Linked DNA regions of Lytechinus pictus. The protein of the gene in region 3 interacts with the protein of the main gene of each other region in a pairwise test. Links are inferred from orthologs where the notes say so. Each region holds a gene or a part of one and is shown on either strand. Other genes may lie near its edges.

Evidence for each region.
Region 1: the proteins of cell cycle checkpoint protein RAD1-like (region 3) and pantothenate kinase 3-like interact in a two-hybrid assay, tested with the Caenorhabditis elegans proteins (2 studies listed by BioGRID). The link is inferred for Lytechinus pictus from reciprocal best matches to the Caenorhabditis elegans genes mrt-2 and pnk-1.
Region 2: the proteins of cell cycle checkpoint protein RAD1-like (region 3) and proteasome subunit beta type-3-like interact in a two-hybrid assay, tested with the Caenorhabditis elegans proteins (2 studies listed by BioGRID). The link is inferred for Lytechinus pictus from reciprocal best matches to the Caenorhabditis elegans genes mrt-2 and pbs-3.
Region 4: the proteins of cell cycle checkpoint protein RAD1-like (region 3) and PAN2-PAN3 deadenylation complex subunit pan3-like interact in a two-hybrid assay, tested with the Caenorhabditis elegans proteins (2 studies listed by BioGRID). The link is inferred for Lytechinus pictus from reciprocal best matches to the Caenorhabditis elegans genes mrt-2 and panl-3.

Annotation. Positions count from the first base shown.
Region 1 is NC_087256.1:1,123,005-1,130,951, forward strand, and holds the start of pantothenate kinase 3-like, read right to left. Parts: upstream 3,018-7,947; 5' UTR 2,875-3,017; intron 2,680-2,874; exon of another isoform or gene 930-2,679; intron 1-929. Other genes in the region: pyridoxal phosphate homeostasis protein-like, read left to right, coding at 4,928-5,023, 6,300-6,407, 6,700-6,811, 7,280-7,414.
Region 2 is NC_087257.1:9,035,324-9,043,096, reverse strand, and holds the start of proteasome subunit beta type-3-like, read left to right. Parts: upstream 1-4,764; 5' UTR 4,765-4,852; coding exon 4,853-4,855; intron 4,856-7,123; coding exon 7,124-7,308; intron 7,309-7,773. UniProt on the Caenorhabditis elegans protein: Non-catalytic component of the proteasome, a multicatalytic proteinase complex which is characterized by its ability to cleave peptides with Arg, Phe, Tyr, Leu, and Glu adjacent to the leaving group at neutral or slightly basic pH.
Region 3 is NC_087246.1:3,922,411-3,930,375, forward strand, and holds the start of cell cycle checkpoint protein RAD1-like, read right to left. Parts: upstream 3,002-7,965; 5' UTR 2,895-3,001; coding exon 2,775-2,894; intron 1-2,774. UniProt on the Caenorhabditis elegans protein: May be a component of the 9-1-1 cell-cycle checkpoint response complex that plays a major role in DNA repair. Promotes DNA double strand break-induced cell cycle arrest and apoptosis, thereby playing a role in genome stability.
Region 4 is NC_087249.1:48,654,970-48,662,050, reverse strand, and holds the start of PAN2-PAN3 deadenylation complex subunit pan3-like, read left to right. Parts: upstream 1-4,077; 5' UTR 4,078-4,161; coding exon 4,162-4,168; intron 4,169-5,998; coding exon 5,999-6,096; intron 6,097-6,549; coding exon 6,550-6,652; intron 6,653-7,081. UniProt on the Caenorhabditis elegans protein: Regulatory subunit of the poly(A)-nuclease (PAN) deadenylation complex, one of two cytoplasmic mRNA deadenylases involved in general and miRNA-mediated mRNA turnover.

The DNA.
Region 1 (7,947 bases), on a different chromosome or scaffold from region 3:
GATTTGTGAACAACTCTTCCCATTACTTTAGTATATATTTCACTTAAACTGCCTCTTTTATCACATCTATCAGTAGATAATGTGTTCTGTCTATAGGAGAGCATGTTATACAGATTTTTAAAGAATACATCATGGATGAAGAGTTTGTATAACCATAAAAAAATATATATACTTTTTACGCATATTTTATAGTCGATCAAAGGGAAAATTGTTCACATGTGACATCAAACATCCTTGTCGCATTGCCAATGGGAGGATATCCATAGCATTAGTGATTGTAATGTTCAAATGCTCATAACTTTCTCATTATTTGTCCGATTTTTCTCAAACTTTCTTTGTTCTTATTTTTTTATTTTTCTGTTTCAACACAAGCCTACTTGTTTAAAAGGTTTCATTTCCCTTTAAGATTAAACATGAATTTATTTTCATTCCACAAAAAAAATTTCAATTAAATCTAATAAGTGTGCCAAAAATCTCATGAAAAGTTCAGAGAGATACATGATTTTCTCAGAAAAAACCTTGGCAAGTCATTTTCATATTGGACAAAAAATGGTGCCCCATGTCTGCGTGCCCATTCATTTTATTTAGTCTTTACACACGATTCAGGGATTTCGATGAGAAAGCATTTTGAGGCCGTCAATTTGCGTCAAATGAAAATGCCTTAAATATATTATTTTTCAACCATTTTGAGTCAGATTTTTAATGATTAGATCTATATTATATTGGAATCACTCATTTGAGATGAGATAGTTGTTCATCTACTAAAAAATGACCTTCTATGTGATGAACAGCATGGATTCGTTCCTGGCCGCTCATGTGTGACACAGCTCCTAACAGTAATGGAGGAATGGACTAAAATGTTAGATGTAGGAGCTCCTATTGATGTGATCTATTTGGATTTTAAGAAAGCCTTTGACAGTGTTCCTCACCTTCGCCTACTCTCCAAACTGGATGCTTACGGTATAGGTGGTGAACTTAAGTCTTGGATAAAAGACTTTCTACAAGGAAGACACCAGAGAGTAAAAGTCAATGAGGAGTTATCTGACTGGACTAGGGTTAGAAGCGGCGTGCCCCAAGGTAGTGTTCTCGGCCCGACAATGTTTGTTATCTCCATAAATGATCTGCCAGAATGCCTTCAAGGGAAAGTCAGGATGTATGCTGATGACACTAAGCTCTATGGTAAAGCCTCTACCAACGATGATCTCTGTGTAATACAGAATGACCTCGATACCCTAACAGAATGGAGTAATACTTGGCAGTTGCACTTCAACTCAGAAAAGTGCAAAGTATTACATATCGGCCCAGGAAATGCTAAGCGCACATATTTTCTTGGATCCGATTTACTTGAGCACACTTCAGAAGAAAGAGATCTTGGCATACTGATTGACGATGAACTTAAATTTCATAACCATGTTGCAAGTACTGTGAAAAAGGCCAACGGCGTACTCTCATGTATACGACGTAGTTTTGAATGCAGAGATAAATTTACAATCCCAAGACTCTACAAAGGACTTGTCAGACCGATCTTGGATTATGGCAACTCTATATGGTACCCCAGATTCAAGGGTGATGCTAAAGCCATAGAGAAAGTTCAAAAGAGAGCAACCAAAATGATCTATGCTATTAGGAATCACTCATACACAGAGAGACTGAAGGCACTCAACCTGAGGTTAACCTCCCATCCCTTCAGTACCGCAGACGTCGTGGAGACATGATCCAAGTGTACAAAATTGTTCATGGATTTGAACGCATCCCAAGTGATGCCTTCTTTGAACTTTCAGCAGGCAATACAAGAGGTCACAGTCTGAAGCTTTCTAAACCCAGATGCTTGACCAAACTGAGGCAAGATTCATTCAGCCAGCGGGTTATAAATGACTGGAACTCACTCCCTGAAGAAGTAGTTACAGCTCAGACTGTGAATAGCTTTAAGATCAGACTGGACAAAGTGTGGGCAGACCAGCGGTTCTGCTCACCATATGAGTAGCAAACATCTTATAGAAGGTAGAGATCTGAGCCAAAACGACACTGAGCAGACACCACACCAATCATTGAGACGGATGAAAATGGCACAGAACTGGAAGCCTGACTGCTGGGATCCACAGCACTCTTCCAGAATCTCGGGTAAAGGTAAAATTATTATATGTTGATCTATTGCAAATATGTGTAGTAAAGATTGTGGTCATTTTGCAACTTCTAATGTTAAATTGATGCAGATACGCGTATGAACAGACAAGGGGCACCTTATCATACATTTTATTACAGTACCGTATATAGATCTACATTTTACTATTTATTACAAGACTAATCATTATTTGGCAAGTTCAATCAAAATAAGTAAAAACAATGTGGACTTCATTCCACACACATCATGATGCGCATCTCTGATTAAAACATTATTTAAAGTAGACATAGAATCACACATAAATCCTAAATTTGTATTTCCAATTCTATTTCTAACTTAAATATTCTAATCCACTATCAATATTCTCAGTCATAGTTAGATAGTAGTAAACTACGTTACCGCCCACTACAGCTACTCACAATGCATGCAGCTTTAAACAAACACACACACCCTTGCCTAGCCTGCCTTTGCATTGCATACACCGATCAGACCATTTATCAGCCGATTGACGACTCATGCGTGACACCCATGCCATGCGGCAGCTACACACACAGCTCAAGAACACAGCGGCCTAGTGCATGCATGCACCGGCCGGAGCCATAGCTCTACTACGCCTTGAGTAACCGTACACGTGATTATTGCGATACCGGTACACAATCGCCAACAAGAAAGACAAATGTTTACGTTTGAATTTAGACGGGATTCAATGAAAAATAAAACTGAAAAAAATTTCAGTATTGACAAGAACTGACCGTAAAATACTTCTGTAGAATTTCCTAAAAACAAAGATTTTCCTTCACTGTCGACCAAAGCAATAATCGGAGATTTTGTTCACTCACGATCACTCAGCAGCCAAACAAAACGTTTACAGTGATTATTCTGACGTCACAAACTCGGAAGTGTCGACGTCGCGTCGATCGACGCAACGAACAAGGGGCGGGGCTAGCTTTCTTGATACCCGCCCCCCCCCCCACACACACCAAAAATAATGCTTAGTTTGAGCTCATTTTTTTTTCGTCACTGTGTTGTAATTTATCATATTCAGAGACCTAAGAGCCGCCCAAAACTTTTTCAGTAAACAAACTTAACACAAAAGGGTAGAAATGACCATCGAATTATTGTTACTGTTATAGCATACAATGCCAATGGCGGGGGCATTACCTTGCAGCCACCTGGCGCATTATAATTCCCCGTTCACGTACCAGCTTGCCTCTCACCCCCCCCCCCCCCCTCCCTTGAATCGTTCCACGGCCCATACCCAATGTTTTGAGATTTTTCAAACCAAACAAATCCTTTTTTTTTACTTAAAAAAAAGATGCCGTATGTTAATTGTTTGTTATTAATTGCCACCGTATACTAGACCCTACCCCCGGACGGAACTGTATAATTTCAAGAAATGCAATTTTCTCAACAAAATTGAGAATGATTTTGTTGGATTTTGTGTGTGCATTCATTATCATCATACGACACAGTAATACCCATTCCATACCCGCTCCTGTAGGAAAAATAATTTTCAGTAATCCCCATTCCATACCCGCTCCTATAGGAAACATAATTTTCAGTAATCTCCATTCCATACCCACTCCTATATAGGAAACATAATTTTCAGTAATCTCCATTCCGTACCCGCTCCTATATAGGAAACATAATTTTCAGTAATCCCCATTCCGTATACCCGCTCCTATATAGGAAACATAATTTTCAGTTAGGCCTAACTTCATGAAGCAATTCCATCCAAATTACGAATTTATGAAATATCTTTAACAAATATATGCGACGGATATCATGCAATATCAATTCACATTTTGTATTCTCGGATAGATTTTTCTTCAAACCTTCAAAAGAAGATTTTTTTCTGATTATATCAAAACACCTCCTCAGTCATGTCAGTGAAGACAAAATGTTACATTATAAGTACTATAATCAACAGACAAATCAGTTTAAATCAGCCGAGGGAAAGCTTGGATAAAGCTAAAAACTAGTTTATATATTATTAAAAAATCAAGATCAAATCGGTACAGATTTGTAGAATTTCAATTGCATGCGCAACAAAATAAATGCTTTGATGACCTTGATACAAGTTAATTTGGAAAAAGCTGAGTTGACAAACACTTGAAATTTAGTACAAATGCATGCAGTATATAAATAACTAGTAATTATTATTTCATAATATAGAATTTACCTTTGGCTTTTCGACTTATTCTTCGCTATAGGGCCTATTCCTGATACATTTGAGAACAAGAAATTTTTAATCAATCACAATTGGCCTGCTTTGATACATGGCATATATAAAATTCGTCAAAAATATTTAAACGGGTAATAAGGCCAGGGGAATTCCTGTTGTATGTTTAGCAAAATAGTAATAAAACTCAAGATGTCAAATTCAGGGGCCACGGAAGCGGGGGTGGCTGGGGGGGGGGGGGGCTGAAGCCGTGTACAAAAACGTAAAAATTACCATAGGATTATGATTTTTTTGCATGGTCAGCCCCCCACTTTTGGCTCAGCCCCCCCCCCCCCCCCCCCCCCCCCCCCACTTTGAAAACCGTTCCGCGGCCTCTGATATTATAAACAACGTAAATATACACTTTTTCTGTTAATATTATTTTTTTGTTGTCAAAATTGGTTGCCACAAAAATCCCTTTCTTTGAAATTTGATTTTCGAAGCAAGGACGCCGTAATGAATGAATTGTGTAATCCAGAATTCTCGTTAAGAATTCTTTGGTGGTAGTTCGAGAGAAATCCTCGACGAAAAGTGCACTTTGAAATTTATATTTTAACATTTATATTTTTTAGATAAATTGTGGAATGCAAAGGATCATAATGACTGCTGAAAATAGTGTGGCCAAGGCACTGCGATCTGTAGGTGAACGGATTCAAGCAGCCTCTATGCAAAGAACCTCGGTATGTTTGCCAGCATTACTTAGCAGCACGACCGGTACGGTACCACGGTACCGGTACTCTGTGCTATGCCATGCCACCGGCCGCCCGCGCCTCCGCGGAACTGACGCCCTGTCGATCGACTGTGGCCGTGGCCGGTTGCCGCTCTCAAACCGTATTCTCTACTAGTCTAAATTAATGTGTCAGTTCACTTCATGTTTGGGAACCCATGATAAGCACTGGCGTAAAGATGGGGGGGGGGGGGGGGGGCTCTTGTCCCCAAATATTTTTCACGACGAGAAAAAAAGAAAGAGAGAGAACTTAGCACATGAATTGAGAAACATGATGATACTATAGTATGAGTGAGCTGATACTTGATAGGCCTAATTATTATAAATTTCTGAAAATTATGAAATATGATGTAAGTCCCATATCTATCCTATCACAAATTTTTTTTTTATTAAAATTGTCCCACCATAAATTGTTCTCAAAAACATTGCGAACAATTTCTGGTGCACCACTAAGGATTTTTCCCCCCCTCTTCATTATTATCTAATCACTTTTAAAGACAATACGGTACCAGGGCCCCATTGGCATTGCATAAAAGTTACTATCAAATTATAGTAAATTTGCCATCTAAAGGTAACTGATGTGTTTCCAATGCTCATCGGTCAATCAGAATCAAGGATTTCAGGGAAGTGTCTACTAATTTTTAGTAACTTTTATGCAACCGGGGCCTCGATCTGGTTTTGTAAATGTCTAAAAGAAGATTTTTTTTGTTATTGCTGATAACATATCAAGTCTCTTCTAGAATCTTTATGATGAAAAATATTTGCAAGATGGTGCATATGCACAAACATCAGATGAAGTCTGATCAAAACTGGTAATGTGTTATGTTTTGTTTCTACTCAAATCATTTGGTAGAATTTTGAATGTGCAGTATGCTCCGTTTATTTGAAAAATTTTAGTTTGAATAACTGTTTTAGTAAGCAAAAGGTTGGTAAACAAGTCGCTTGTGAGTACAATGTAGCTCTCCATACTTGTATGTCTTGTAGAATAATTTCCATAAATCAACATTTCTCACAAAATTTGCAGTGATTTACTTATCAATATTATGGCTTCAATACTTCTTGATCACTGGATGTTTTCTTACTAAAACCAACACTGAGCAATTCAAACAATCATTAAATTTCCCATTTCTCAGACATTGATTGTCAAATGTGGCTGTAATATCTGTCCCCTCACTAAAAACAAAAAAACACCTACATTTTATTTTATGATTTGTCTTTTCTCCTTCCAGACAATACCCAGTGTGGAACCAAGACTAGTCGCAGTGAGTAAAACCAAACCAGTATCTATGATCCTTGAGGCTTATCAGACGGGACAGCGCAACTTTGGTGAAAACTATGTAAGGACTAACTTCCTTAAAAAAATACAAATAATTAATTAGAATTTGCTTTCTTGTCATTTTGGAAAAGTTGAAGACCAGTAAGTGAAAGAAAACACAAAGATTGAGAGCCATTTAGCCCCTTGTGAATTACTATTTTGTTTGAACAATATTGGTTCAGTTGATGTAAGATGTCATTTTGAATAAATAGTGGCAGGAATAATGGCAGGAATAATGGCCCCAATACAGATGTAACAGGAAGCAGTTTCAGCCTTTTTGTAGATGAATTCTATTTTATTTTCTTTGTATTCAGGTACAAGAGCTTGTTGACAAATCTCATGATGCCACAATCAGAGAACAGTGTACAGATATCAGGTGGCATTATATTGGTCATCTCCAGAGTAATAAGGTCAAGAAACTTCTCAGTGAGTATGAGATTTTCTATTCAATGAAGATGAAATCTTCGGATCAAGTTAGTTTGTATGAAAACAGAAAAATTGAATTATATTGAAAATTAATTGGGGAGTTATACAACATACAACATAACACATGTTAGTCACATTGCCAATGAGAGGATGCCCATATCATTAGTGATCTCAACATCCAAATTCCCATAACTTGCTTATTATTTGTTTAATTTTTCCCAAACTGTCACTGAATTGTTTAATTGATTTTTCTGTTTTCACTCAAGTTAACTTGTTCCCAGAGTTCATTCTCCTTTAAGATCCCAATGCATAAAAACTTACTATTTAAATTTAAATACAATTGATTGAAACATAATAACTGTTATAACATGCTACCTTGCTAGGTTTTTTTTTCTCTTCCTTTTTTTTCATATTTTGGTACAATGTTTTTAAAACCACAATTCAATTATTTATTTGTTTTCTATGTAGGTTCTCCTAATCTGTACATGGTGGAGACTGTTGATTCCAGGAAGTTAGCATCAGAGCTTGAGAAACATTGGAGCAAAGAGACAGACAGAGGAACTCTCAGGGTCTTTGTGCAAGTCAACACAAGCGGAGAAGCAAGTAGGAAATTTATAACAGTTTATTTTGTCCTTTTCTTCATGATTATTAAATGAATGGTATGTAATTCCAGAGCGATAGACTGAAATTCCTGGAAATATTTATGTAAATGTATGTATTTGGACATGCTGAAAACTCCAAACTCGGTTGTTGTAAGATCAGTCTTATGAATGATAAGTGAAATGAAAGGCAAAATAGGCCTATGTTTTTTATGACTCTTTAAGTCATTAAAAAAACTTGGTTGTACCTGTTTAATTCTGGCTCATTGGCCTGTATTCTCAAAAGAGGTTTCGATTGTACCATAGTAGTATAAAAACATGGACTATGCAGATTTGTGTACATATTCACGCTTATTTCATCGTTTACATTTAGGAAGTCCAATGTGATAATACCAGATACCTACGTAGTGCTTGGTTTTGTACATTTGAAATACTGTGCACTGTATCTCTATTAACTGTACAGTGTTCAGTTCTATATTGGTATCATGTGTTATCATGAAACATTTGAAATAATTGAAATTGACTATTTCATTTCCA
Region 2 (7,773 bases), on a different chromosome or scaffold from region 3:
ACAGACAAAATCATCATGTTCTTTATTGACCCTTCATGACTACTTCTGCTCGTTTTGCTGCTTTTCAATTCAGACCTCATCCAAAACTTTTGAATCCTGCTCTTTTCGTGATGGCATGATTATAACAGGCATTGTATAATTTTAAAGAAAATTAAATGATCTTTTAAATGATATCAAATATGCATTGTGTTAAATTGGGAGTTGGGAGAAATTAATGGCCAAACTCAGATTTCCAAACTTTTTTTGAGGGGTTTATATTATATTCAAAGACAAAATAAACATTGATGGCACTTTTTTGTTTAAAGTTTTCAATTTCTTAAGTGAAAAAAATGAAGAAAAAAAAATCATTGATGAGGGGAAGTTATATACAGTATATCTAGAAGTGATTAGATAGTAACCTCGGGTCCTTCAACGAGTGTGTCCCCCCCCCCCCCTTGCAAACATACCTTTGCTAAACACTTTCATTTTCTTTTTCTTCTAGGTTTACTTAGTGCAATTTTTAAATATATTTCATTGCTCGCAATCTTCGGATAGTTTTTATAAGTTATGAATAATTATAGTCCCTTGCAGTGAATTCTAATTATGTTTTCCCAAGAAATTTGTTTTTAAATGCTTTATAAACGTAATTTCTATATTCAATTTTTACACAAAATTGGGATGGGGTCATCAGGCCAGGGGTCGGGCGAATCAAGGGCCGTGCCCCTCCCATATTGTCGGCTCATAAAAGGAAGGAAAGTATTTTGTCTTGTTGTTTCTTCTACTCCTACTGTAACTACCAACTTAATTACAGTATTACAAATACTTATCGGAGGCTTCAAACTGATATACTTTTGAACCAGGCAATTTAATCTATAATAAGCTTTATCCACCTCCATGTCTGGATCACTGATGGTCTGGATCCCATTGTTTTGCACTCTAATGTAACTCGCCACAGATGGCGCTATTCCATTACAGAGAGGAGAAAAAGAAATAGATAGATAAAACAAAATTATACGGGAAAAAAGAAGAAATTTCATGAAGTAAGGCGAAGAGAATAATTTGAAAGAAAAAAATTTTGTTCGCTATTCAATTAAGTTTTTGTTATTCTACATCAGGGAAATTACGGGCCCTGTTCATGATTACCCCCCCAAAAAAAAAATCAGCTCGCGCTACGCGCTCAGATTATTTGATTGGTGAGATATGTACCCTTTTTCATGAATCACTGCAAATAGTCCTTGTTGAGTCCTTTTCAGGATGTCAATATATTGAAGAAAAAAAAACAGTTTGCGATTCGCGCTATTATGTACAAGCACAGACTATACGCATCTTGTTCATGATTAGGCAGAAAAAAGGCTGCTCAGAATATTTAATTTTCAGCTGTGAATAGATGAAATAATGAACTAGTGAAAAAATAGCTCACGCTTCGTACGCTCTCATTATTTATTCAAAGGACAAGTCCACCCCAACAAAAAGTTGATTTCAATAAAAAGCGAAAAAACAAACAAGCATAACATTGAAAATTTCATTAAATCGGATGTAAAATAATATGGCATTTTAAAGTTTTGCTAAGTTTCACGAAACAATTATATTCACATCCTGGTCGGTATGCAAATGAGGAGACCGATTGCATTCATCCACTCACTATTTCTTTTGTATTTCATTACAGCATGGAATATGAAAAATCTAATTATCTCCTCATTGTCATCAGTGGCGTAGCTAGGATATTTTTCCTGGGGGGGGGGGGGCACAATTTTTTCCGGTGTGTGTGTATGTGTCACAAGGGCGGATCCGACTTTCGCCAATAGGGGACGGTGCCCGAAATTATCTTCACCTATATTTTCCCCGATCAGTCACTTCTCAGTTTTATTCTTATAAAACAACATAAACATGAAATAATCTCATAAGCCTTATAAAAAAGTGCGAGCGCGAAGCGCGAGCGATTTTTTTTACTTTTATGTATTTTGTCCTGAAAATTTGATATTCTGGGCAATGATATGTGTGATCCTGAACAAGATATGTATGTAAGATGGTTACTGCGAACGCCAAGCGTGAGCAGAAATTTTTATTAACTGTTCTAGCATTATCGAAAAGGGACCTGTCAAGGAAGACGGTATATATTTCAATAATGCAAGCGCAAAGCGCGAGCAAATTTTTTTGACATTCCGACTTTTAAAAAATGGTCATTCTAAGCATTTTTTGTATTAATAAATGGGATAGGTATGTAACTAAACAATTGATGCGAGCGCGAATTATTGATATTCTGATGTGAAACTGGATAATTTAACTACATTTTAAATAAAGAACATGCAGGCTATCGCGCATGTTTTAGATTTAGACCTAGAATCTGGGCATTCTGAATACATTTGTTTAATGGAACATTATGGAATACACGTAGCCGGGACACGTAGACAATATGAACTTGGCAAATCAAACAATGTGACCACGCAGCGTGAGCTTAATGCTGATATGTAGACCATAAAACGGACATTTTACAGAGCACTTAAATTTGTAAATGAAAAAAAATAATGAAAGCTCGATGTCCTAGCTAAAATATGTTTTGTATATTGACTTCAAAGCTTGCTCCATATCAGCCTATTGAGCAAGATATGAATCTCATCGAACAGGCAATTCTGGCGCGAAGTGCAAGCAAAAATTGTTTTTTTTTTGCAAGTCTTCCCCTCACATTATTTCATTCACTCGTCTTCCTCTTATTTTTTTTTCTTCTTCTTTTCCTTTTTTCTTTTCTTCTTTCTCCCTTTTTTTGCTCTGCCATTTTTTTCAGGGGGGGGGGCACCTGGGGGGGGGGGGGCACACCAAAATAAATCTCAGGGGGGCACGTGCCCCCCAGGCCCCCCCCCGTAGCTACGCCACTGATTGTCATGTGAATCGAAGTTTTATTCCTTTCTGAACACAGTACTGTACAAGCTGTAATTTTCGCGGGGGTTTTATTTTCGCGGATTTCGCGAATTGCCGATCGGCCGCGAATTTAACAACACGCGAAAATATTGACACACTTGTTAGTCAGTGCCAATGTCCCCAACAGCAAAGCTTTGCTATTGAAAACATACTGTGTAGTGAGAAAATGGAGATATGCACCTCTATATGTACAAAAAATAAGGCTTAGAAAGTACAGTTAGTGATTCAAAAAGTTAGCTAGAATTTCACTTTTTTTAATTTCTAGTATGTGATTATCAATGTTTCAACATTTTGTGGTTCAGACAAAAGGGTCATTATTGTCAAATCTGTAAAAAGAAATGAATATTTCACAATTCAAGCAATAAAAAATAAAATAAAATAAATAGATAGTGAGTGAAGGATATCATCAACGCTTTTATTTGCATAGAGCCAATATCCATGAGTTTTGTGAGTAATAAGCGTGACTTTAAAATGCCATCATGATATATTTCTTATTTCACATCGGATTTGGATGAAATTTTCAGGGTTAATTGTTATGCTTCTTTTATTTGTCTCTTTTTATTCAAATCAACATTTTTTTGGGGTGGACTTGACCCTTTGAGATCTTGGCGAATAATAAGGCTAAGATGAATGAAACGTCATTCTCTGGTTAGTACAGCCCTCTAAACGCGGTAAAAAAAATTAAAATAAACTTTTTAGGCGTCAAATGGGGGAAATGTTGATAATAATATTTTTACCCCCTCACCAACACTAGCGTCATTTTAGTGAGCAAACAGTTTTAAGGGGCCAGACATGCCGTATAGGGCCAAATTAATTTGGAAAAATATGCGAGAGAGCAAATTTTTTTATATTTTTATTACCAAAAGAAAATTTTGTGATAGATTTTGACATGATATTCAGATAATAATTTTAGATTTTCCTTCTCTTTCATTTTTTTTTCTTGGTCGTGATAAATTGGGGGCCCCCATATCTACCCTCTCATATAATTACTTCTTCTAAACCGTTACCCGTCATTATCATTAGTCTGTAATAGGCCTACTATACCTTTTCTCACTATGTCAAATAAAAAAGTTGGTTGATAATCATATGGGTGTTAGCAAACGAAATTGGTGTAACCTTAATGGGAATTAGACGAATAATGGGCGTATAATGAAATTACGCTGCGTCGGATGGGGGGGGGGGGGGGGGGGGGGGGTGATGGCAGGATCATAATAGCTATCTTTTACCATATAAAATTGCCATTATAATTGCAGGTACCCACCTTCGAGAAATGGCCCTAGAAATCGCTTGTCAAGGACCTTTATCAAGAAGTTTATGAAAAAAACAAATCGAATGCTTATTGGGAGGAAAAACAGGTTTAAAGTCAGTCAGAGGTATGGGATGGGGACTTTTGAACACTCACCCACCATTAGGAATCGTCGCAATTATTTTTACCCATTTTCTTAAAGGTCAAGACAGTCTAACTTCCATCAACGCTTGTGACTTGAGATCCCGGCTTTGAGATATATATATATTTTTTAAGGCTATTTAAAAAAAAAAAAGTTTAAAATGTCATCGGGCTAATTTTCGTATCTTACAAGATGAGAAAGCCTACTATATAGGCCTACGAGCAATGAGAGGAAAACTGAGATTAAGGAAGAAGAAAAAAGGTGAACATGGATAAATAAGAAGAATAGAAAAGGAAGAGGCAAAGAAGAAGAAGACGAAGAAGAAGAAGAAGAAGGAGGAGGAGGAGGAGGAGAAGAAGACGAAGAAGAAGACGAAGAAGAAGAAGAAGAAGGAGGAGGAGGAGAAGAAGAAGAAGAAGAAGAAGAAAGAGATAGAAATAGAATATTTCATGAGTGAGCCCTCTTTGTCGAAACAGAGAAAGTCTACAAACGATCGTGAATTGACACATTTTAGGAATTGGAAAAAATCTGTCTTGTTTGTGGCCGGGGATACAAACAATCTAGGCATAATGGTAAGAAATGTGATTGATTTTAAAGTCAAGTATTTGCTTTTAAATGCCTTTGATTTGAGAATGTAAGACATGTATTTATTGTATAAGAAAGAAGAGCGAACGAAGTTTGACTTTAGTTTTAGTTGACCTGCGAGAGCATGACCGTGTCTCGGGGTGGCGTCGGGGAGTCTCTACCGCGATGAATTCGAGCGAGTCTCTCTCGAAGTCCGCTGCGGCGGAGCACAAGTCAGATGAAGATTCTGCCTCGGGCGAAGTAGCCTGGAGGCGTCTGGGGAGTAAAAGTCATCTACTCTACGTAGGCTTACTCCCCACTGACGCCTGGGACGCCAAGGTATAATCACGCACGTACGGCCACAAAACCTGAAACTATCGCCCCTGAGATTTCTACTTTCCCTCTAAAACTAAAAGATCTAGCCCTAGACCTAGTATAACCCAGAGAGCTCCAGCCCGCGTAGCGTAGCGGGCTGGAGCCCAGACGCTCAGTGTGCAAACGGGCATTCAGGTGAGAGTACCGTGAAGTTTGGTCAAAATAATTTTGATAATACATAATTAAAACAGAAATTAAGCACTTACCACGATTGTATGGATGATAGTCTAACGAGTGGCAGTTTCCTGACATCGAGGCACAGACTGGAACCTCAAAAAACGATCAGTTCTGTCGCGGTAGCTCTCCTCTTTCAGAATTCAACACAAAATGGCCGATCGAGACCGAGGCTAGTATAGCACTAGCGCATATAGACTTTGTCAAATTCGCGCATGCGCCCTACACCCTCTCGAACGGCCATTTTGCTATGAATTTTGAAAGAAGGAGAGCCACCGCGACAGAACTGATCGTTTTTTGAGGTTCCAGTCTGTGCCTCGATGTCAGGAAACTGCCACTCGTTAGACTATCATCCATACAATCGTGGTAAGTGCTTAATTTCTGTTTTAATTATGTATTATCAAAATTATTTTGACCAAACTTCACGGTACTCTCACCTGAATGCCCGTTTGCACACTGAGCGTCTGGGCTCCAGCCCGCTACGCGGGCTGGAGCTCTCTGGGTTAGCCCTAGTAGTAGTATTATAAAACATGTAGGCCTACCGGTACATGGGTTCACTTCAACTTCATTTCCAACATTTCTGCGATATCAATTTCGTTTTTAAAGAAGAATTAGGCCTAATAAAAAAAACGAGAAAAATGTTATGAAAAGATGGGAAGAGCTCACGGCCGTGTTTACGTCGCCATCTTGATTTCTTTGTCTTCCGCTTGGCGACAGCACGCAAATCGCGTTAATGTTATTCATTGTTAAAATTATATTAAAAAAATATAACGAGAAAGTAAAATAGCTTAATTTCTTACTCTTCACCCGTATTTCACTCCGTGTCCATCCTCCGGTTATCCTCAAAATTGGTGATTTTGGGCCAGTATCTTTTTCCTCACACGTATATAGCGATAAACCTTATTGACTTCAACGAGTGCACACACACACTGACACGCGAGAAGAGAGGTGACTAATTGCATGATACTAAGGCCATAAAACCGGTAATCAAATGGGTAAATTGGTCTAAAAACCATCTAAAAATATTGCCACAAAGTCATTACCATGGATCATGTTTAGCATGACAAATTATGGACTGTACTCGGGTGCTGGACCATCAAATTAAATGAAAAAAAAATGATAAAATTAAAAAAGCAACAACAAACAAGCAAGCCCCAAAAATGTGTCATCCACTTAAGAAGATAACTAATGTTAATTTAGACCATGGTTAATGTTATCAGAAGTTGTCTTTGGTCCTTTTCTATTTATTTTTTTTATTGTTTTTTTTACGTTAGAGAGAGTGAAATGCTCTTTTTTGCATGTGTGTGATGGGAACCCGGCCGTTTTTATGCATGATCCACTTAAAATCGAAGATTGAGGAATTTGAGGGTCATCTAGTCTTTTCTAGATTGTTTCATTTGCCAAAATTATCAAGTTTTTTTTTTATTTGTAAAGAAATCGGGGAGAATAATAAGAAAGATGAAGGGACTCAAAGTCAGTCTGCACTTATTTTTTCAGAATTGAAAGAAGAAATAAAAGTCTGGGTTTTAATTATGGTCGGCCTGGTACAGCAAACAGTTTTTTGTTTTTTTCCTTCACAAGGATTGTTTTAGAAAATGAGCAAACAATGTGTGCATGCACCTTTTAGCCAGCCAAAGCCATTTGAAAATAGTTTTCCAGGTTTTTGTTTTGAACGTTTATTTCTTGCCACACTTACACATTTTCTTATACATTTTCTTATATTTCAGTCTATTATGTCATATAACGGCTCGGCCGTTGTGGCCATGATAGGGAAAGACTGCGTTGGGATCGCGTCAGATCGACGGTTTGGAGTACAAGCTCAGACCGTCTCGATGAACGCACAGAAAATCTTTGAGATGGGACCAAGGCTTTATTTGGGAATCTCTGGGCTAGCAACTGATATAACTACAGTGTAAGTATGGAAATGGCAAGACCTCTGTATCATTCATACATAAAACACACGTTAACATTTTTATGCTAATTCTAAAAAAGGCATTCATTGACAGAAACTCTTAATTTGGAGATGGCAAGAGCCAAGAATATCATAAAAGATGACACTTTTAAAGTGGAATGGATGTACATGTAAGCTAGTAACAAAGTGATTAAAATCTGAACGAAGATAAAACATAAGCTGTTCATTATCAAGTTCATTACAGGCTATGTTTTACTATCTTGGATGTGCCTTTGTCTTATTTTTTCAATTATTCCCATTTGTACTGGTAGAAAAGGTATAGAAAAATGGCCCTGTCCTGTAGATTATTGGAACCTACAATTTGTTTATTACCCATGGGTATGTCGGACAAGCCTGCCTTGGGCAAAATGCTACAGTTATCGCAAGAAACTTGTGATCAATTTGCAAGTTGTAAAATTGCAACAG
Region 3 (7,965 bases):
GTTATCGATCTCAGTTAAATTTTTCAATAAAACTAGACAATGATGCAATAGACAGGGTAAATACTATAAACTTTTTAGGCGTACAGATAGATGACAAGCTCTCTTGGGTTAACCATATAGATAACATCCATGGAAAAGTTAGTATGTGCATTGGTATGTTATCTAAATTACATAATATGCTTCCACTTAAAGGTCAAGTCCACCTCGGAAAAATGTTGATTTGAATCAATAGACAAAAATCAAACAAGCACAATGCTGAAAATTTCATCAAAATCGGATGTAAAATAAGAAAGTTATGACATTTCAAAGTTTCGCTTATTTTTCACAAAATAGTTATATGAACGAGTCAGTTACATCCAAATGAGAGAGTTGATGATGTCACTGACTCACTACATGTATTTCTTGTTTTTTATTGTTTGAATTATACAATATTTCAATTTTTACGAATTTGACAATTAGGACCTCCTTGCCCTGAACCACAAAATGTTAAAATAATGGAATTCCACGTGTTCAGGGAGAAATGAAACTTCAATTCACATGACAGCGACGAGAAAATCAAAATATTTCATATAATGAAATACAAAAGAAATAGTGAGTGATGTCATCAGTTCCCTCATTTGCATACCGACCGAGATGTGCATATAACTGTTTTGTGAAATGAAGCAAAACTTTAAAATTTCAAAACTTTCTTATTTTACATCCGATTTTGATGAAATTTTCAGTGTTATGCTTGTTGGATTTTTTTTAAATTCAAATCAAGTATTTGTTGGGGTGGACTTGTCCTTTAAAACCCTCTTTGTATAATGCCATTGTCTTGCCCAATTTGGATTATTGCAGTCTTGTCTGGGGAGGAGCCAGCTCATGTCATTTAAGCAGATTGATTGTACTTCAAAAGAAAGCAATTCGTCTATGTTCTAACACGCATTATCTTGCCCATACTCCACCTCTATTTAAAAAATTCAACACTGCCAATTTGACTGATACTATAAAAATAAAGGCAGCACTCTTTATGTTTCGATATATGAATAACATGTTACCAGCTATATTAAATGAATATTTTCTTACAGTTGATAAAAACATTGTTAATACAAGACAGAGAAAGAATATATTTGTGCCATATTCACACTTAAAACTACTACAGACGAACTCTATTAAACACAAAGGGGCTCAATTTTGGAATAGTCTTGACCCACTACTTAAAAGAATGACCACCGTTACCTCATTTAAAGCTAAAATTAAACAGCCTCTTCTTGCCACTTACAAGTGATTCCTTTAAATTGAACCAAAACTAAACAAACAGTTATATGATATATTTTGTTTTGTCATGTATTGTAAATATTGTAACTTGTTTCATGTATTATTTCAATTGCTATTTCCTATGAATTTTATTCCTACTGTAATTTATTTGCTGTATTTGTGTCACTGTTACATGTATTTATCTGTCATAGATCCCCCTGCTTTTCAAGCCTCTGGCTTTCCTAGGGTGTTTGATCCTCACATTTTACAATGTATATATCTACTCATGTGATTTTTACCTAATAAATAAATTGAATTGAATCTATAAATTGTTCTTCAAAACGGCATTTTGTAACATAGCTAATCGAAGGTACGTTATAACGAAGCGGTTCAAGGGTCAGACCTGTGGGCCAGTCAAATATATTGCTGTACACACGCGTGAACAAAAAAACGTGTTTAAGGTGTATTTTTCAGTTTTGGACGAGGGCCGCGCGTGCACTCGTTTGAGGGTATCAAAAACACAGATTTTCAAGAAAAAGGGTGGTTTTGAAAGACTGGTCAATGGTCAATCGCGGGGTCAAATGTTTTTTCCCCAAAACTTTTTTTTTTAAGACTAGCCAAATGTGTTTAGGGTATGTTTTTTTCCCAAGCTTTTTCCCCGTGGTCATATTTTGGCGACAACTTGTTTAGGGGGTTATTTTGCACACAGAGAAAAAGTCGTTTAGGGGGTGTTTGGAAATTCCTTGGTCACGCGTGTGTATGGCAAGTTCCCCCAAGTCTGCGCAGTCCCCCTTGTCTGCGCACACGCGTATCTGCACGATTCCAGTAAAAGAAGATATGCAACGAGCACGAACTTTACACATGCAATACATAGACAGGTATTCATTAAAAAATCTGACTCAAAATGGTGGAAAAATAATGAATTTAGGCCTTTTTTTTTATTAGGGCATTTTATGTGACGGTCTCAAAATGCAGCCTTTCTCATCAAAATCCCCGAATCGTGTGCAAAGTGAATGAGTGCGCAGACATGGGGTAATATTTTTTTGCAATCTGAAAATGACTGACCAAGGTTTTTCTCAAGAAAATCCTATATTTTCTTTCATTTTTTAATGAGAAATTTGGTACACTTACTCTTGATAATATAAGGAACATTATTAACTGAAAGATTTTGTAAAATAAGAAGAAATTCATGTTAAATCTTAACTCAAAGACTTGGGGCCCACCATCATTCAACAATATATTTAACTGCCCCCCCCCCCCCCCCCCCCCCGGACCTTCTTAAAAGATGGATTTCCTAGGCTAGGGAAATCCATCTTTGTTTACAACTACAAGTGTCTCTTTACATATATGACAGGCGGTTCAAGGCTCAAAGATGAAGAAGTATATGTCAAAATGTTAAAAAATATCATCATGGTCCATGATGATATTTTTTAACATTTTGACATATGGAGTCCTCAACTTAGGCTACCTCCCCCAAGTTAATCTACAGTCCCACCTATTCGATTCTGGGCAGTCTCTGGCCACTAGACAGTAATTACCTCTCGATCTTTGAAGTGAATAGCTTTCAGAACCATGGCCACATTCCTTGCATTATCTACTCTCAATGATAGCACATGCTGCCCGTCTTCTTCACTTTGTTGGGTTGATATTAAGGACATTGCCAATCATATGCTGGAAGTATTAAGTGCAGGCCGAATCAATACTGTAAGTCTGTTATCTTTTGCAAAAATCAAGTTTACCGCGGGTCTGCTGCCCTCTTGTGCTTATATTGCATGATTTTTTTTTCACCGATTCAGAGAGCTCAGCTCCGAGTCCGCTGCCGATACCAAAAAAAATATTATTTTACTTTATCTAAGACTATTTTTATATTTATATAAAGTTGCCAAAGCAAACAAGCAAAAATAAATAAGTGAATAAATAATTACACCTATGACTGCATGACACTTACCAAATCATCAATGTCGTTGAATTAATTTTGGTTAGGATAGGTCTGCAGATTCAATTTCACTGAGTTGGACATATTTTCTACGTCGCATATCAATCACACCTGTAATATGATCAAATTTTCAGGATAGGCAGTTAACTTCCCCCCCCCCCCAAAAAAAATCCTTTTAGTAAGTTTTATTTCCACTTTTATTGAAGCAATAAATTGATTTTATTTCTTAACATATGCCATAAACATATTGTCCCTAAGCATATTCTTTCAGCACAGGGCCATCAACCCCATCAACCAGTCAGATAAACAGTAGACGTGTTGATATTGAACGTTCATGCCAAATCGCTTGTTTTCCCCCTTTTTTTCTCTCTGGAATGGCATGGGCCTTACCAAAGTTGCCTATTATTTCAAACAACCTTCTATTTTAGACTCGGTTTTAAGACCCTATAACTACCGAACTACTGAGTGAGTCAGAATAAAATTTTATACCTTTAAAAGTCCTTTATCGTAAACACATAGGCCCTATATATGCCAGGAAAGAGTATTTCTTCCTAAATATTTTGAAACGTTTTTATGTGATACATGCTTACACCTGGATAGACGGTCAGGAAGTATTTTGACGTGGGGTAAAATTTGATCTGTGGCAAAGTGAAAGCAATGAATGAATATAAAGTGTCAAGCTATAATCATATAAGAGATAAGAAAAAAATAGTTTGAAATTATCTTTTTCCCCCTTTTCACTGTTTAATTTTAACAAACACTTTTGGCATCTCTCTCTATACTTATGTCATCTTATTATTTTGCAAAAAGTTTACTTAACTCGTGCACGATTATCACATCAGATTCTGGATTCATTCATTTCATTCATGCTATACCTCGGCACAAATCAAATTTCACATCACAGCGAAGAAAATTATCCCAACATAATCATTTACCGCATAAAAGAAATCAAATTTTCAGAGGGAAGATCTGGGAGGGGGCGGGCAGTCAAATGTGTTGCTGTACACATGCGTGACCAAATTATTTTCAAACACCTCCTATAACAAGTTTTTCTTGGTGGGCATGGGACCCTAAACTTTATCCTGATCTTATTTAATGTTTATGAACATCTATTTTTTCCCTCAATGCAGAGGTCAGAGGGTAGTCCGTACGTAGCTGTAGAAAAAGAAAACAAAAAAAATTGTTGTTTAGTATCGACATAACGATGATTAGACCAAATGGTAATTAGACCAGGGGCCTGCAATATAAAAGAAAAACACAATCAATCTCAAACATGATTGACATCAATCATAAATCTATGGTAAACCATGTACTAAATTCTAAGAGTTACAATTTGATTGTATCTCTTCATATAACAGGCACCTAAGGGATATTAGACCAAATGACAATTAAACCAAGGACTTATTAGACTAAATGATGGTAGACCAAATGAGGTTAAACTGGGCAATGGATCAAAATCAATGTGTACACCACATCGGTATAAGACAAATTTGATTTTAAACCATTTGATGGTTTGACAAAATGGCAATTAGACCAAATGATTAACACCAAATGGTTATTAGACGAGATTCCATGTAGGCAATATCTAAAAACAAAATGATAACACCAAAGACCCCCACCCATCAATGCCAATAAAGGATGAACAAAAAAATGGAATTTTATATGAAAGTGAAATTTTATTAGGAATGTTCACATTGATTATTTTACATTGAAATAAAAGTAAAAGCCTTCAATAAACTATTTTAAAAATAACAATTGCAATTCAGTAGCTCAGAAACCACTAATTCCCATTGTGTAAATACATTTACACACAAACAGTGCTATAAATTTTGAATACTTATTGTATTCAATACAATTACATAGAACATGACAATTAAAAACATAGTGTAAAAAACAAAATCAACAGAAGTCACCATATTCATATTTATATACTATACTGACATCCCAAAATATACAAAGACAATCTCAATATGAACCTCACATAAATTATGAATGAAATGTATTGACTCGCCTGGAGCTTTCGATTTCTGAGTGTTTTCTTTTTTATTCCTAAGACTTTTGATTCATGTCCACTTGACTGAATTCCAACAGACTGAATGCAATAAGTACATGTAAGCACATATTCATGTCTGCTCCAGTGTCATGCCGTTACAGTATCATATCTTGTTTGATTGAATTGCTGTTTAGCTTTGGTTGGTGTATAATCTCTGATACTCTTGAGAAAGGAAGTAATCAGAGCCCGGGGGGGGGGGGGGGGGGGGGGGGCCACTTACATTGACGAGTGGATACCATGCGCGACCAAAAAAAACACGTAAAAAGGATGTCTTTTTTAATGATAGGGCACGTTAAGTACGTAACGTGATAAGGGTGTCAAAAACACAAAAATAATGAAAAAAGGGTATCTATTTCGCTAGGAAAGCTACGTGTTTAGGGTCAAATTTGCGGGGATGCTAAAAATATTTGAATGTTTTATAAAGGATGTCTTTTGTGCCCCAACATTACGTGTTTAGAGTCTGATTTGCACGAGGTGTGGAAGGTGGGGCCGTACTAAACCAAATGGTGTGTAAAGGTAAACCGATGACCGACGGACCCGTGACATAATAAAATATCGCTGTACTTTTTTAGGGGTTCATTTCAGGGAATACTTGCCAAGAGTATCGTTTTGTTTCCAATGCTTGTTAAGGGTAGGGTTTCAGACGCCAATACTCGTTAAGGGGTGCATTTTCAGAATATGGAAAATACGTGTTTAGGGTGCTTTTCGAGACCCCATGGTCGCGCATTGTATCCACTCGTCAATGGAAGTGGCCCCCCCGGGAATCAGAGGGAAATTGGTTAAAAAAAATCAGCTTTACTGGTCTTCGGTCTCGTTGACCTCTGGTCAATAGGTTAGACCACTGATGATCCATTGGTTAAATGCTAAAACATACATATATAAATGAACATAGGGTGCAGTGATGAAAAGCCTATCATCATAGCTGCTAGCAGCTGAACGAACAAGATGTGGAACTCGGGATAGGTACAGCATTTCCAGTAATGATATAAAAATTGCATTAAAAATACTCGAAAGTAGCAACACAAACTATAACACCCGTACAAAACTCATTTGAGGACAATTAACATGGCACAATGTTGAAATAAATGGTTATCATTATTCCTTTTGAAGCTGTGCTCCAAGAATTTGAAATCATTCTACAGATCACCTCTGTCTTCAGCATTTTGCATACATGAAAAAGGTGAGCCATAAACTACGCTTACACATAACATTAATAATCACAAAATAAATGTTATGTCATATCGTAAAATGTGCCATCCACATAACTATGGATAAAATTACCCTGGTTTAAGCACTAGTGTCCTTATATAGTGATACAAATTTTTATCAATATTCTGAAACATATCCAGAATAATTTGTTATAATAAAGATAACAATGCTAATAGCTATATTTATCAGGAAATATGCAAAGGTCAGCAGCTTGCAATGGTCTACTAGTACTATAAGGGTAGAATTGAATATCAGGAAGTGAGATGAAATGTATGTGTTGCTACTAGACCTGGTTCAGAACCAATTTTCAAACTGATTCAGCTAGTTCAGGATTTTAATAGAGCAAATATGAGCTCTCAAAGCGATCCAGAACATGAACATTTACCCAGAGATCATACACAAGAAATGCTTTTATATTGAAGGGGGAGATTAACATGTACAGTTCTGAATTACAAGAGTACCTAAGCAATGTGTTTCCATAGCAACATAGCTAAAGGTGTACCTCGTAAGGGTTCCATCTGGTCACTCTAGGAAAGTGACTAAACAAAGTATGTATTAAGTATGCCTTACAAGAGGTAATTAAAGCATTGACATAGCAACACATTTGATTCATGGCATAATCCATAAAATACATTATAGACCTATTTACTAATATTCTATTACACTAAGGTTTTCATTGTCAACTCTGAAGATTGCCCATCATAGCAACAAGTAATGTTTGCACACTGGATTCCTAGTATTCTGTTTTTCTGAAGGAAACACTTTAATATCAAGAAATGTTTTGAACCGAAAGTTTTGAGAGATGACTCATTTGTTGTGAGGTAAAATGATTTGGAACTGCATATATTCTGTTTTCATTGAAAGGACAAGTCAACTTATTTCAGGAATAGTGTATTGTACCCGAGAGGGTAGGAAATAGATCTTATTTTCAGGGGCCATTTTTTTCCACATTGGGGGCAATTTGCAGAATTTTGGGGGCTATTTCTTTCATTTGAATGGCTTTTTTAAGGGTAAAAAGTAATTGTGCAGTAAAAGCAAATGATTATTCTTCTGCCATTTAGAATAATGATTTTTCAAATAGTCTTAAATATTGTTTGGAACAGATATTGAGGCGACTCTAGAAAGAATAGTCGCCCCAAAGCATGCATTTGATTTGGGCTGTCATGAGGGCGAAAACCCCCTCGCCCTCATATTTCCTATGCTAAAATTTGTACCCCTTTATATTATGGTGTAAAGGGTAGACAAAGAAAAATCATTTGTAGCTGCTGTGTATTTATAATAATATTTTTCCTGGTACAGGTATTGTCTAAACTTCCTACCTATCAGTTTCCACATGTTTATGATTTGCTTGTTATGTTTCTGATTCTTGCCCAACCTCTTTGGTTTTGATTTCCTGTTGTGCATTGCAGCAGTAGCAATGTGTAGATATGGTATCTTTTGTGTTGATTGAATAGAAAAATCACGAACAAAGAAAAATGACTTAAACTTTATCCAAAACTAGGTATATTCAGAAGATCTGAATGCAATACTA
Region 4 (7,081 bases), on a different chromosome or scaffold from region 3:
CATCAAAATTTGAATATGCATGAAGAAATGAATAATCAATTCAGAGCCAAGAATTTTTTATAAATAATATTTCAATATAATATATTATTGTCATTTCTTCTATAATATTTATTTATATGGGCCTACAATAGAGCACTAGAGCAATTTGACTAGTTGACCCCTCCTTAAAAAAAATGATAAAAATCACAAACTTTATTTTTATTGTTAATTGTCTTCAATATCCAATATCATAATTATCGTACATTTCATTAACATTTAATCAATTTCACTTCAGTTTGTATTATAAAATTAGTGTGAAAACAACTGCTATGGGAAGGGGTTAGCTCGCTTCACAAATCCCCCCCACACACACAAATGCACCATAGGCTATAGGCCTACGAAAAGGTTTTCATGACTCCACTATTGGGATAAATAATACTTTCAACAAAAAATCTGATGTGATGACGATTCAACAAAATTATGCAAGTCTGAAATATATAGAAATTAATTTGTGAATTCAAATCTTACTTTTTTAATAGGTAAATACAAGGGCGGCATCACATTGGATACGAATAGGGGACGGCGCGCCGCGGCGGCTCCTAAGATGTTACATGAAACAAAATATTTATTTAAAAAAAGAGGGGGGAGAAAAGGATTACTGAAATAAATGAAAAACATAAAAACAGGGTCGCATCCCCGCATCTTTGAAAGAGTAATAAATGAAGTCATTTTTAAAGATCACTTCAAACTACCCTGCATCATGGCGACACTCCTATTATTATCTTCTTGATATATTTATAGAAAGTGTATAGGCCTGTATCAGGGGCGGATCCAGCCTTCGCCAATAGGGGGGCCCGGAACTTTTTTTCAGCCATATTTTCCCCGATCGGGCCCTCGAAAATGATTTTTGGTTTCTTTGAAGGGGTATTCCAAATAGTCACTTCTTAGTTTTATTCTTATGTATAGACATAGATATATAATATCATAATCCTTATTTATAAAATGCGAGCGCGAGCTAAAAAAAAATTGGGAAAGCTTATGTATTTTTTCCTAAAATTTTGAACATTCTGGGCAATGATTGTTATCCTGACAAAGATGTATATGCAAATGAATAATTACTAAGAACGTGAAGCGCGAGCAGAAATGAACCGATGGAAAGAGTACTATTAAAGACTGCAATTGCATTTAGCCATGGAGACGTAACATATTTTTAAAATCAAATAATGCGAGCGCGAAGCGTGAGCTGAAATTTTTACATAAGGAATAGAAATTCTAAGCACTTTTTGTAACTTAAACAGAATAGGTATATAACTAAACAATTGATGCAAGCGCGAAACGCGAGCGGAAAATTTCGAGATTTAGACCTACTGAACGAGACACTCTATTCAAGTTTTGTAAATCATGAAAAGGATGAGTAAGTGGGGATCTTCCTTACATTAATAATGCGAGTGCAGAGCGCGAGCAAAAAAATTTAAATACGTTTTGAACTGATCGAAAAGGTACCTGTTAACATGGTTAAGGACTGCTTGCACTTATATAGCCATGAAGACGTTACATATAAAAACAATCAAATAATGCGAGCGCGAAGCGCGAGCTGGAAATTTTTGACATTTCTACATAAAGAATGTAAGATCAGTTAATCAATTTTTGTAATTGTGAACGGGATAGGTATATAACTAAGCAATTGATGCGGAAAAATCGAGATTCAGACCTAAAAACGGGACACTATTCATGTTTTGTAAATCATGAAAAGAATGAGTAAAAGAGGACCTTCCTACATTAATAATGCGAGCACAAAACGCGATCAGAAAATTTCTGATGTTGTGATTTGACACTGGATAATGATTTAAATAGAGAACAAGTTTAGTATTTGAATAAACATGCGCACGTGTTTCATATTTAGACCTAGAATCTAGGCATTCTAAATACATATTTTGTCATGAAAATCAAAGCGAGCAGGAAGCGCGAGCTTAAACTATATATTTGATATTCCGATATAAGAAAAAGAGTCGATTTCAGCTCTATATTTCAAGCACTTTATAGGAAAATTGTGAGGTGGATATGGCTCGCACATTATTATTACTTTGAATAACATAGGACCGGGACTTCCTCAGGACTTGTATATGAAAATGACGACTATCTTTCTATTCCTCTTGCTTAGCGTGAGATGAAACAAAAGGGACAATTTAATTAATATCTTATTCATTAATGCCTAATGAGGGTGCAAAATCTGATTATATTATGGCCTGAAAACTGGACATATGAATAAATTTGTAAATCACACAAAATAATGAAAGTTCGATTTCCGAGGTGAAATATGTTTTGTATATTGACTTTCACACTTGACTTTTAAACTCCATATTGAACAAGATATGAAAATCACCTAACAGACAATGCAAGCGCGAAGCGCGAGCGAAAATTTTATATAGTGACATGAAAGATTCTTTTTATTTTCCAAGTCTTCCCCACATCTTATTTTATTCACTCGTCTTCCTCCTCTTCTTTTTTCTTAACTCTTTTCCTTCCTTTTTTCCCTTTTCCCCTTTTTTCGTTCTTTCTCTTTTTTCCTTTTTTTTGCTCCGCCAATAGGGGTGGGGGGGGGGGGGCGGGCCCCTCGGGCCCCCCTGGATCCGCCTATGATGTATTGAGATCCTGAGAATTTTAAAACATTTGAAAAGTCAGAAAGATGCTCGGTATAGGCCTACATTATCCGCGTTCTGTTTGGAGGTCAAATATTTTAAGTTTTCTTCAAGATGGAAAAATTACTCGTAAGTGACATTGTTAGATTAATTAAGCCGAGGCAGTAAAAAGAATATTCACCCTAACCCTATGGTAAAATTCACCATTTGAGGATTTAGTACAGGCACTGGCGGACCGGGGGGGGGGGGGGCAAAGCCGGACCGTGCCCCCCCCCCTTGAGAGGCACAATTAAAATTTGTATAGTAAAAATGCCGTTAAAACAGAAGTGTGCCCTTTTTTTTTGTCTGTCAAATCTTTCCTCGGGAAAAATGTGCCCCCCCCCCTTTGGGAAATCTTGGATCCGCCCCTGAGCACAGGTAAACTTTTGAGGGGGCAACACGGAAGCGCCAGCAAAGTATTGGGGACAAAACGACCTCATTGTGACGTCATTTTGTCTCATATATTGAATGACATGAAATATCTATAATTTATCATTAATTTATTCTTAATTGTGTTTTTTTAAGTTTATGCCATTTTCTCCCTCGATCCATTCATTTTTTCCTAATTTCCTTTTTTTCAGTATTTGAAAAAAAAATATGTTGGTCGCCAATATCCGCCCGTAGCCTTTCTCTCTCTGATCCAACAGAAACACAAGACATGATAAAATTGAGGGAAAAATCCCGCCCGTCACCATTTAGCAGAACATTAGTGCCCCTCCCACCCCCCCTTTCTCGTTTACGTACCCCATCTACGGTAGACTAAATTCATTATTATTTTTTACGAGATCGTCAATGCATTTTTATGTGTAATAATTGAACTACATGTATGAATGGACGCTCCTCCTCCGTAATACATCTACACATATGGAAAATTTCAGGTTAAATTCATCGCTTTCGGGAAATGCCATGTTGACTTCACCGCCATTCAGGACTACATAGTACCAAGATAAGTGGGGAAATGTTGTGATTTTGTAAATCCAAGGAAGATAGCATCAAGAATTTAGGCGGTGGAAAAGTGTCGCATCTCACCGGCTTCGATTCGAGTGGCGTCAACCCCCATCCCCATCAGTGCATAAGTCATTAGTGTTGGAGCGAATGTAAACAGCATTGACTTGAGCGAGCTGACCTGAGCAAGTGCAACTGGCTGTGTCTGTGGTGCCTGAGCTGAGCTGTGCCTGTGCACTTGTGTTGCAGTTGGTGAGAGTACAGACTACAGTTCCAAGCCAAGGACAGGATTTACAGAACTGGATCTCTTCAGCAGGGCTTGACTGACCTCAAAATCACAGTATTTCTGAAAATGAAAATGAGAATTGACAGACATGATGTGCATTTTTTAATTTGAGCATCTTTTGAAGTTCTGTTAATGTGAATGTCTGTGCCAAGATCGCAGAGCACAGCCATTGATTCACCTCTATCGACTTCATTCTAAACTAGGCTAACTCAAAAACTCATCTTTTAAACACAAATCTCAGTCACACTGACACAGTCACAGTAAAAACTCGAGATGGATCGTAAGTGTAAAGTCTGGCACTTCTTTAGTTTTTAGCGATGCATGCCTTGCTCTTTGACTTTGCTAATAAAGTACATGTAGGAGAAAAATTTGGGCCAAATTGTGTGGTTGATTTGTACGCACGCACTTGGATCTAAAGGGGATGGAGGTAGAAATGGAACCATGTGCATGACTGAATACAGCACTGCTGTACAAAATGATGCACCGTGGTTCCCAATTTCTTGATAGTGCCAATAAATTATTTACCCAAATTGTGACTCTTGCAAAATTTATCAATTTTATTTCATATTTTTAATGAAAATGTTGCAACATGTATGAGCTTGGAATGTCTTGAAAGGATTCAAAATAATCCTTTATTTTGTAACATTCTAATAATGTACCATATAATGTACTAATGTACCATATATGAATGCTTTCAGATAAATTGATAATGATACGGGCCCTACATGTAAAATATCTATATTATTGTTTAGAAATAGAATATCTGGACTTGCCATTTATTCATCTGCATCATGCCAGTGATTCTCACTAACCAAATTTGTAAGCAAATCCGAAAAGGATTTCGGGGGCTTATCAGTTTTCAGTGCAAGTCACTATTTGCTCCATGAAATGCTTTCAAGCTAATGATGATTATCATCAGAATTTGATCGTTTCAAGAGTATCATAACTATTCTGTTAATGAAGTTTTGTCACTTTGTTATTATTTTTTATATATATGTAATTGATCGTCACCTATTGATTTCCTTAGCAATTTTCTTATTCAGATATCCATTGAATATGTTTATCAATTATCAAAAAATTATATGGGGGGCTTGCCGGCTCGTGGTAAATTTGCCCTTGAAATACCAAGCAGTGTACACTGTACAGAGTCTGGAAGAGTAATAAAAAGAGTCACAGAAATTTCCATAGGGTCCAATGTAAATTGTCAGACAATGTAGGGAAATTGGGCTGGTGAGTTCAAAAGTAGCCCTGGAAGAAAAGAAATAAGTATTTTTCCCAGTGTCAGTAAATATAGATGAAATATTATGAATATTAAAGAGAAAATTTTCAATAGTGGGTGGTAATGCAATCAGCTGGCCATTGGAATTTGTGCTACAGGAATACAGCTTAAAGTTATAAACAAAGTTGTGTTCAATATCATGTAAATGTATCCCTGGCAAGTCAAGTTCTTCAATATTTTCTTTTTATTGTGAATTTTGACCTTTACAGCCTTCATATTTTCATTTGTTTCTAGTGGCAGACTCTCACATGGCACCAGATCAATTTGTCACTGCTTACATGTAGAACTTTATAAAGAGCAATGCCTTACACTGTACATAAACTACATGTATTGCCCATCCCTTACAATTGCCAAGATTACTTTTTGTCCAAACAATGTCAGTATTCCTGTTGAGGGAACATCTATGTAGGAAATACATGTATCTGTACACGAAACAAAATTTACACTCCTCACAGCCCCTTTGCCTCTAAAATTTCACAATTGAATGCTTCGGGGCAATCTTCCAGATTTGCCCCCAAATCTGCCACAAACAATATTCAAGAATATATTGAAAATAATACTCCGTATACCGGCAAAATGAGTATGAATGAAGATACATGTATTTGTGTTAATACTGCTGTGCATTTTATAATTTCTTGAGAAAATAACTAGCCGGCAGGCCTAGCACCCCCCCCCCCCCCACGAAAAAAAAAAAAAATCAAGCAATTACCCGGATCTGAAAATCAAATTGAAATTAGAAAATTTGTTCCTAATTGTGACTGTTGATAGAGATGAGTGATAATATTTAACCTTTGCAGCTTTATATTTTCATTTATTTTTTTGTTTTTTTAGTGGCAGACCCTCATATGGCACCAGATCATTTCTTCACTGCTCCGTTTGACAGTGACAACTATGGTCCACAAACCAGCAAACTCCAGCATCTTATGCAGGTACTGTAATAATGATCAGTCCACAGACAGTTAAAAGGATTCTTATTGATACTAATTTATGAAAATGTTTATTGCTTGTTTGTTTGTGGCGGTTTCTTTAGTTATTTTGAAAATAAAATAGATTGCATGAAAATATCAAATGAATTTACATCACTTTGATTAATCGATGTGATGTTTAGCTATAGCTTAAATGCGGACCTTTCTTATTGCTTTACAGAAGCTTTCATGAGAAAATGAATGGTAAACTTTCATGTTCAAAAGTTATTACATGCATTTGTCACACTTGTAATTTCTAACTGGTGCTGCCTTTGGAAGGCATACATGTATGTAATAGAAGAATTGAATTGAAAAATGGGAAGCAATAATCATAGAGATATTCAGCCCCTAAAGTCATTTTTTTATGTTCTCTTCATAAATATACTTGACATTGTTCGAATTTTTATTGTTTTAAAGCGATCGCATTCAGTGGGATCGAGCCTGTCAACATATACGGGATCACCGGCATCGTCAGCACCAAGCGGGCAAAAGAGAGACGAAACGCCCATTTTCCAACCAGGTTGGTTGCCCTTATTTATTTTCCATGTTGATTCCTTATACTGTACCCTATTCTCACCGGCAAAGTTTTCCTGAACCCCATACTATAGGTAAGGCTAAATTACATTTTAGCCCCACCTAAAGTCTGGAGTTCAGCTTAGCTTACTGGTTTAAGGATAGTATGAGGTTGATGATAGTCCGGGTTTAAGAAAATGGTGTGAGAAAAGGTATACCGTATTTAACAGTACTCGGACTGTACACTGTATGCATCACAAAGCGTAGTGTGTGATTTTAGGGCTGATTTTTGTGCTTGGTTATTAATATTATGCGCAATCAATTGTGCAAATCACAATGATTTATCAATAAGCTTGTGCAATAGGGTCTGTAGAATACACTGGGGAAAAGTCTTGTATCGCATCTCATCTACATGTATGCACGCTTAGTTCAGATA